2 linked regions of the Canis lupus familiaris genome follow. The protein of the gene in region 2 interacts with the protein of the main gene of each other region in a pairwise test. Links are inferred from orthologs where the notes say so. Each region holds a gene or a part of one and is shown on either strand. Other genes may lie near its edges.

What was found.
Region 1: the proteins of MAPK14 (region 2) and DUSP1 interact in binary tests that used the Homo sapiens proteins (3 or more experiments, as listed by UniProt). The link is inferred for Canis lupus familiaris from reciprocal best matches to the Homo sapiens genes MAPK14 and DUSP1.

Annotation. Positions count from the first base shown.
Region 1 is NC_049225.1:40,472,973-40,477,577, reverse strand, and holds the start of DUSP1 (dual specificity protein phosphatase 1), read right to left. Parts: upstream 2,838-4,605; 5' UTR 2,591-2,837; coding exon 2,224-2,590; intron 1,954-2,223; coding exon 1,808-1,953; intron 1,475-1,807; coding exon 1,255-1,474; intron 817-1,254; coding exon 446-816; 3' UTR 1-445. UniProt on the Homo sapiens protein: Dual specificity phosphatase that dephosphorylates MAP kinase MAPK1/ERK2 on both 'Thr-183' and 'Tyr-185', regulating its activity during the meiotic cell cycle.
Region 2 is NC_049233.1:5,351,533-5,355,344, reverse strand, and holds part of MAPK14 (mitogen-activated protein kinase 14), read right to left. Parts: intron 2,411-3,812; coding exon 2,281-2,410; intron 1-2,280. UniProt on the Homo sapiens protein: Serine/threonine kinase which acts as an essential component of the MAP kinase signal transduction pathway.

The sequences.
Region 1 (4,605 bases), on a different chromosome or scaffold from region 2:
AAAAAAATTGAGGTATTTGGTTCTTCTAGAAGTAGACATGGACATTTGTGAAGGCAGAGCACCTACACAAAAATAAATAAGGTATATTCTCATAGGTATGTGTCGTCAGGAATGATAATACTGGTAGGTATGTCAAGCATGAAGAGTTCCTACAAAAAACAGGAGCAAGCAAAAAGAAACTGGCTCATACAATGAGTCCTTTCTTTTCTGCCCCTTTTTCTCAGAGGGACTTGATGTACCCACTATATATTGGTCCCAAATGTGCTGAGTTCAGCAAACATCTTGATGCTACATCATCACTATGACTGCTTAGGAACCCAGTGGAACTCGGGGTGAAATTAAATAAATAAGGACCAGCCCTCAGAAGCCCCTCCCCAGAGTTACTGCATTTCTCCTCAAGGAGCCTAGAGTCCCAGCGGGGTTGGAGATCACCTCCCGTGGCCTTTCAGCAGCTGGGAGAGGTCGTAATGGGGCTCTGCAGGTAGCTCAACGCACTGTTCGTGGAGTGGACGGGGATGGAGACAGGGAAGTTGAAGACGGTAGTGGTGGAGGTGCTGCGGTCCAGCACAGCCATGGCAGGGCTCCCGGCCTCTGCTGAGCAGTGTGGAGCCAGGACTTGGGACTCAAACTGCAGCAGTTGGCCCATGAAGCTGAAGTTGGGGGAAATGATGCTTCTTCTCTGCTTCACAAACTCAAAGGCCTCATCCAGCTTGACTCGGTTAGTCCTCATGAGGTAAGCGAGGCAGATGGTGGCTGATCGGGAAATGCCTGCCTGGCAGTGGACAAACACCCTTCCTCCAGCATTCTTGATGGAGTCTGGAAAACAAAGCGTGGCTGGTTACTCAAGAGCTTAGGGGTACAACCCCAACCCCAGGCATAGGGTGCCTAAGAATTATGTGTGTCCTGTCCAGAGAACCACAAGCCAGCACACAGTGCTCTGTGGAGGCAACGAAGGCATGTGCAAAAAATAGCATGGGATTTAAACCAAGACCAGGCATCTCCACAAAGCAGAAGTGATCCTGGACGGGAAGTCGGTTCAAACTTTCTGAGCCTCAAAAAAAAAAAAAAAAAAAAACTTTCTGAGCCTGTTTGCTAATTTGTTAAATGGGACTTTGCAGGGACGGCTGCCTGCACCAACTTATTGAATGTATGGAGAAAGCTCAGGCGGAGGTCATTTTAGTCCTTGCCACAGAGTTGGGCTCAGTGACTAAAATGTGGAAGCAAGGCAGAAGTCCCAGGCATCTGTCCATTTACCTATGAAGTCAATAGCCTCGTTGAACCAGGAGCTGATGTCCGCCTTATGGTTGTCTTCCACGGGGATGCTCTTGTACTGGTAGTGACCCTCAAAATGATTGGGACAATTGGCTGAGACGTTGATCAAGGCAGTGATGCCCAAGGCGTCCAGCATGTCTTTGCGGGAAGCATGATAGGCACTGCCCAGGTACAGAAAGGGGAGGATCTCCACCGGGCCACCCTGAAATCCAGAAATATCCAACACTGGTCAGGTTTTGCTCAAAGTCAATGCCCACACCCACAAAAACTCCCTGCTGGAAAAGTCAGTTTCAGATACCGGGTGAATTCAGCCCTGTTGTTGGAGCATAAACAAGTAGGGGGCTAAATCCATTTGCCTCAAGTTCATTTCTGTAGTGCCAGCAGTTAGACTCCGCTCCATCAGACCGCTTAACCGCGGGATAAACTACTAGCCCCGCGTCCTGTCCCTTACAAACCAGCAAGTTACTTTGTATATTGTCCCTAGCACCGCTCTTCCAGCTGTTCTTTACCCCCTCTGGCACGGTCCCCTACTAACCTGGTCATAGAGTGGGGTGCTGCAAGAACTGCACCCGGATTCGGTGCTGTCAGGGACGCTAGTACTCAGAGGAAGGCTGAGCCCCATGGGGGTCGACTGTTTGCTGCACAGCTCCGGGCAGGAAGCTGAGAAAGCTTCATAGCCTCCTGGGAAGACAAAGAGACACAGTTGTTTCCATTAGCATCCTCGGGGACAGGGCACCTTCATCCAACACCCCCGCCCGCCCACCCGGGCTCAAGTTTTACCCCGGAGAGGCCCAGGCAAGTCTTTGTTCTTAAAGCGGAACAAAGCCCAGGACAAGTCCCCGGAACAGGGCTCGGGCGCCCGCGCGCTCCAGGCGGAGCGGCCCGCAGGGGCTGGGGGACGGCCGGCGCGGGGCGCGGGGCGCGGGGCGCGGGCGCCTCCGGGGGGCGTACCTTTGAGGAAGAAGACTCGCGCGGCGCGCGCCTCGCGGCAGAGCGCGCCCGCGGCCAGGGCCAGGGTGCCGTCGCGCTTGGCGCCGTCCAGGGCGGCGCTGCGCTCGTCCAGCAGCACCACGGCGTGGTAGGCGCCGGCCAGCAGGCGGCCGCGCAGCTCGGCGTTGGGCACGATGTGCTCCAGGCCCATGGCGCCCTTGGCCCGGCGCCGCACGATGGTGCTGAAGCGCACGTTGACGGAGCCGGCGATGTGGCCCGCGTTGAAAGCGAAGAAGGAGCGGCAGTCCAGCAGCAGGCACTGCGCCGCGCGCTCCCGGAGCAGCGTCCGCAGGCCTCCGGCGTCCAGGGCGCCCACGTCCATGACCATGGCCGGCCCTAGCGCCCCCAGCGTGCCGCACTGTCCGCGGGGCTCTGTCCTCGGAAGCCAAGGGCAGGGCAGAGGCTTTCGAGGAAAAGCCCGACCCTGCTTCTCTCTGTGCGGGACCCCAAACTGCCCTAAGACTGCGCGAGGGGGCGTCGTGCGGGGCCCTCGGCCGCCTCGGCGTCTCTGCTGCTCCCCCGACTGCCCCTCCGGCCCCGGCCACACTCCGCACAGCCCAGCGTCCTTCGCAGCGAGCTCGGCCCGGGGGGACGCGTTTATATGTGGCCTCTCTGGGGGCGGGGCGGGGCGGGGCGGGCGCGCAGGGGGAGGGGAGTTGTTTGTTTGAATGGTGGTCACGTGGCCCGCGGTGACGTCACCCGCCCTGCCCGGCTTGGCGCCGGCGGAGCCAGAGGCGAAGACGTCATCGGCCTCGGAGCGGGATCCGCTGGCCGCCGGCTGGCTCGGGCCCCGGTCCGGCCGTCCGGCCTGCGCCTGCCGGGTCTCCGAGGATCCGGCCTGCGCCGCTCTCCGGGCCCAAGGGGAGCAGAGGTGGCGGGCGCGCTGCCAGCCAAGAGCTGGCCTCCGGGATCCGAGCGGCTGGCTGGGGGAGGGGGCGGCAGGCCGCGGCCTCCCCCCCCCGCCCCCGCCCCGCCCGCGCCGCCGCCGCCGCCGCCGCCGCCCCGAGTGGGAAGGGGCTTCCTGCGCTTTTGCATACACGTGTGCCCCCTTTCGCTCATTTCCTCGTCACGCGTAGGCGCGGAAAATCAGGTTCCCCAGAAGCGATTTACTTCACCCGGTGTCACAATGCTGGGGGTGGGGGGACAGAGAGGAACCTGAGATGAGGGTGGGAGAAACTGTAATAAGTTTGCCCATGGAATGTGCCTATTAAGGACAACCGAGGTGAGCCGGGGTGAGGTTCCGGGGAGTGTTCTCTCGTTTCCCAGACTTGCTCTCCTGTTACTTAAGGGAAACATTTAACAAGTAAAGTGCCTTCCAGTCGAACCCCGCTGGGGTAAGTGATCCCTAATCATGTCGTTCCTATAGGACTTTGAGCCGAGAAAGGCGGGTCTGTAAGGGGAATGAAGTCGCAAATGTCGGGGCTGAAGGTGCCGTCGTGGATTGCGGGGTTCCGCGTTAGAGGAGGCGACACCCCTCCCCCGGCGTGGCTCGACAGCGCCCTCCAGGGGTCACCGGGCATGTTTCTGGCCACGTTCGCTTAAAGACCGGTTGAGCTGCTCCATCTCTCTAGTCCATAAATACTGTGTGGATGTCTACTATGCGCTGGCCTCAGGGGCTTCGATCCCCACGCCCTGACTCTCGCCATCTATGTGGGTTGGATTCGAAATCCAGTCCTACGTGGCTTTAGGAGTCCATGGCTGACGTTTGGGAAGACCCCGAGCGGCCCCTCGCGCGCCGAGTCCGAGGGCGGGCCTCCGGGGCGGGGGAGGGCGGGGGAGGGCGGCGCCGACGTGCTAGGTACACAAACATAAATATTGCGCCATCCGGCCAGGGTGCAGAGTCAGGAACATTCTGCGGTTTCTTCCCCTCTCCGCGGGCAGGGGGGATGGGATGGGGATTTCAAGGACCCTATGTCGTTGAGTTGGGGACTGTATCACCAGCGCAACTTCTGCATTTGCCTTGTTTAGCTTCTGTTCAGACACGCTCAAACTTTCTGCCTACATTCTAGAATAAAGTTCAGGACTGAGTGCTTTTTCTTAAGGGCGTTTTCTACCTTTAGGTGAACATTAAGGACTGCAAAAAGGTCCTCCAGATAATGGAAACACTCTCCCTGTATCTTTAAAAAGAAAAAAAAAAAATCTTTGTTTATACTACTTACTCAGCTGAGGAACTCAACATATTTTTTGCATTGAATCATAAAATGTTAGTTACAGCTGCTGACTTTTCACAGCATACCAACTTTATCTGCCCCCCCCCTTTTTTTTAAACCAAGTGCATTCATCATATCTTCCCTACCCACATTAAAAAAATTTTTTTTTTTTTACACATCTAGTATAGTGGTG
Region 2 (3,812 bases):
AGTCGGATACTCTACTGACTGTGCCACCCAGGCACCCCATCAGCCCGCCCTTTTTTTTTTTTTTTTTTTTTAAGGTTATTGTATGGGACACCTGGGTGGCTTGGTGGTTGAATGTCTCCCTTCAGCCCAGGTCGTGATCCCAGAGTTCCTGGATGGAGTCCCACATCGGGATCCCTGCATGGAGCCTGCTTCTCCCTCTGCCTGTGTCTCTGCCTCTCTCTCTCTCTCTCTGTGTCTCTCATGTATAAATAAATCTTTAAAAAATAAAGATTCTTGTAGCCCTTCCTAAATTAGAACAATTGTATCCCATCAGTGTGGCATCTTCATTTCTACAAATAGAGAGTGACCCACACATAACCAACCTAATACCACAGAAGACACATTTTGAAGTTATCTCATTACAGAAAATTAGAGCATAATAAACTAAATAAGGTTGTTTCTTATGATCACTAGAAAAGCCAAGGCATGGATTCAGATAACCCAAAATAATCTTTGCCCTAAACATTGGCTTAAATGGTCTATGAAGAAAAGCAGAACAATAAAGTATAGCGCTGGTAATCTAAACCAGATGTTTGTAAATGAGCACTGGCAACATCAGTGGGAACCCAGGGCCTCCTGAAAGTGCTTTGGGGTTCCATAAATGTTTCGCTTGCATTCCATTTTCAAAGTTTTCTTATTTAAAAAGCTATGATAATGTCTTTGTCATATTTATTAATGTGTAATGAAAAACAGCATACACACTCAACTGTGTTAAAAACCAAATGTAAACACATCAGTTAAGCTACCAGGCCACCTTGATTGTATGCAGACCTTGGAATAAAGCTTCTCCTGCTAGCTTTTTCCATATATCTCAACTTCTTGTAAACATGTCACTGATTAGGAAGGCTGCAGCTCTACTGAACTTTTTAAAAACTCAGCTTTGCACATGAATGCACATAAAAATTATACCTAGGTATAAAGGTTACCTGTGAAAAACAGAATTTGCTCAATAGTATGCAATTAAAATAAACCATGAAAATAAATAAGCTACTCCTGTGATTACAACACCATTTCTGTAATCCAATTCTAAATTCAAGTCTCAAGGGGCAGCCCGGATTGCTCAGCAGTTTGGCGCCGCCTTCAGCCTAGAGCCTGATCCTGGAGACCCAGGATCAAGTCCCACGTTGGGTTCCTGCATGGAGCCTACTTCTCCCTCTGCCTATGTCTCTGCCTCTGTGTGTGTGTGTGTCTTTCATGAATAAATAAAATCTTTAAAAATAATAAATAAATAAATAAGTAAATAAATAAATAAATAAATTCAAGTCTCAATGCTCCCAATTTAGAAAAAATTTGTACCTTGTTAAACAACTGTATATTAATAAAGTATCATTTATCTATAATTTAAAGATATTCTTAAAAGTTTAATTATTAAAACAGAAAAGATCTGAATAGCCAAGTAATAAATTTACACATTTTGAATATTTTTTCTATACAGTAACAATCAATACGGTCAAATGACTCTAAAATCTCTATGGTCATTGTTTCTACAATGCTACAAATTTTACAGTTTCTTTCATACAGCAATCAAATAAATTCTTTTTAACTTGATTTTGAAATTTAGGAAAGTAAGTATCCTTTGTCAACTGTCTTTTCACTTTCAGCTATTATTCCAATTGCATCCCTTTATATATTGTATTAGGGTTTTTTTGCAGGATGGCATTGCTCTCAAATTTTCAAATTGACAGAAAAGAAAGGGTTATATTTAACTTAAACAATGTCTTTGTCACAGTTATTAAAATACCTGACTCTGGAAAAGCTATACTGCAAAAGATTAAAAAGGAAAATTATATCAAATCACCCATAAATTAATAGTCACCTTTGATAGGGCATTCAGTGGGCCTAAGGCAAGTTGTCTCAAACTTCTCCACTGAAATAACCCATTAAAACACAAAACAACCTTAGAGTCCCATATTTGGACACTACAATATTAAGTAAATCTGGTAAAGAATGCAAAATTATTTTTGTAGTATTTTCTCTTAAAAATGCTTTTATTTTTGTTGGCTAATGCTTTCCCTCTAAAACTGTCTTAGTAAAACTCAAACTCCAGGAAGATGTACCCATGAACTCCCAAGGCTTTGGATGGCTACCTGGCATAACACAGTGGCCACAAACACCCTGGTACCAGAAGAATGGTCCAAAGTTCGATGCATTCTCATGTATTCTCATTTCAGTAATCAGAACACATTTTTCCCCCAGTCTATTCAAGAGCAGCATTTATTCTTCCTTGTATGAATAACTTACATTTTCATGTTTCATATGTTTCAGTAACCGCAGTTCTCTGTAGGTCCTTTTGGCATGAATAATGGACTGAAATGGTCTGGAGAGCTTCTTGACTGCCACACGTAACCCAGTTTTTGTGTCAAAAGCAGCACTAAGGAAAAAAAAGCACATATAAAGAATTCATCAAGGAATGTGCTCTAAATACCTCAAAATTAGTATTTATAAGGAAGGCTATTTTGTTTCCAAGTGAAATTGGTATACAATAAAATACAAAGTATAAAGATTAAAAACTAAAATGACCTATAATCCTGCTATCCAAAGTAACCATCTGTTGTTTTGGGGGGTGTTTCCTTCTCATTTTCTTTTCTAGGTACCTAAATCAGGGGTCAGAAAATTTTTTCCACAAAGGACCAGAGAGTAAAATATTTCAGACTTTGTGAGGCATAGGGTCTTCAGCACAACCACTCAACTCTGTGGTTATAGCCAGAAAGCAGCCAGACAATAAATTTTAAAAATGGATGTAGCTGTGTCCCAGCAAACACAAAAACAAGCGGCCACTTGATTTACAGGAGCCAACAGACCAATATACAAAGACCTGGATTCTGTCTGCCTCAGGCCTATCACCTTGCCACCAAATGTTGATCAGAATGGAGGGCTTGGAATGGTTTCAGGACAATGAGGTGGCACAAAAACTTCTTGAGTGCCTACAAAGTATCTGCCACTCTTCAGAAGCTAAAAATCTAATAAGGAACAAGTCAACAAATCCCTCAGGGGATGGGGGAGAGGGAATGAGCTGAATAATACAATAATTTCAAATAGTGATGAACGCTATCATGAAATAAAACAGAATAATGGGACAAATGAGAGAAAGCCAGTGGGGTTTTGCTTCTTTAGCTAGGATGTCTGAGCAAATAGGTTCAAGCTGACAACTGAATGATGAGAACATAGCAACCATGTAGAGGTATAGGGAAAAAGAGCTTCAAACAGAAGGAAAAAATTGTATTAACATTTATTGAGTCTTTATTGCATACCAGAAGCTGTTCCAGGCCTAACTGTTAATTTTTTTAATTAAAATAAATTTTAATCCCCAACACCCCTATGAAGTAAATGCTATCATTCCCCCACTCAGAAATGAGGAAACCAAAGCACAGACAAGTTAAATAACTTGCCCATAATCACAAGACTTGAAAGTGTCAGGAGGAGGGAATCTGGATCCACAGCTCATGCTATTAACCATTTTGCCATGCCGCCTCTCAGAAGAGCAAGTACAAACAAAGGAAAGAAGAAACAGGTAGAAAAAATATGGCATGCTGGGGGGTGTAAAGATGGCCTGTGTAGGTGGAACACTGGGAGCACAGGGAGAGTAGAAAAGAATGAGGTCAGAGGTATGGGCAGAGGCTAGATCCTGTAGGACAACTGCAGCAAGAAACTTGATGTGTATTTTAATTATTTTTAGAGACTGGGCTAATCTGATCATGCCTCATCCTCCTGTTTATCTCAGTCTCGAATGGGCATCCAAGACTTCTGGATCATCTATCATGACCAAACTCTTT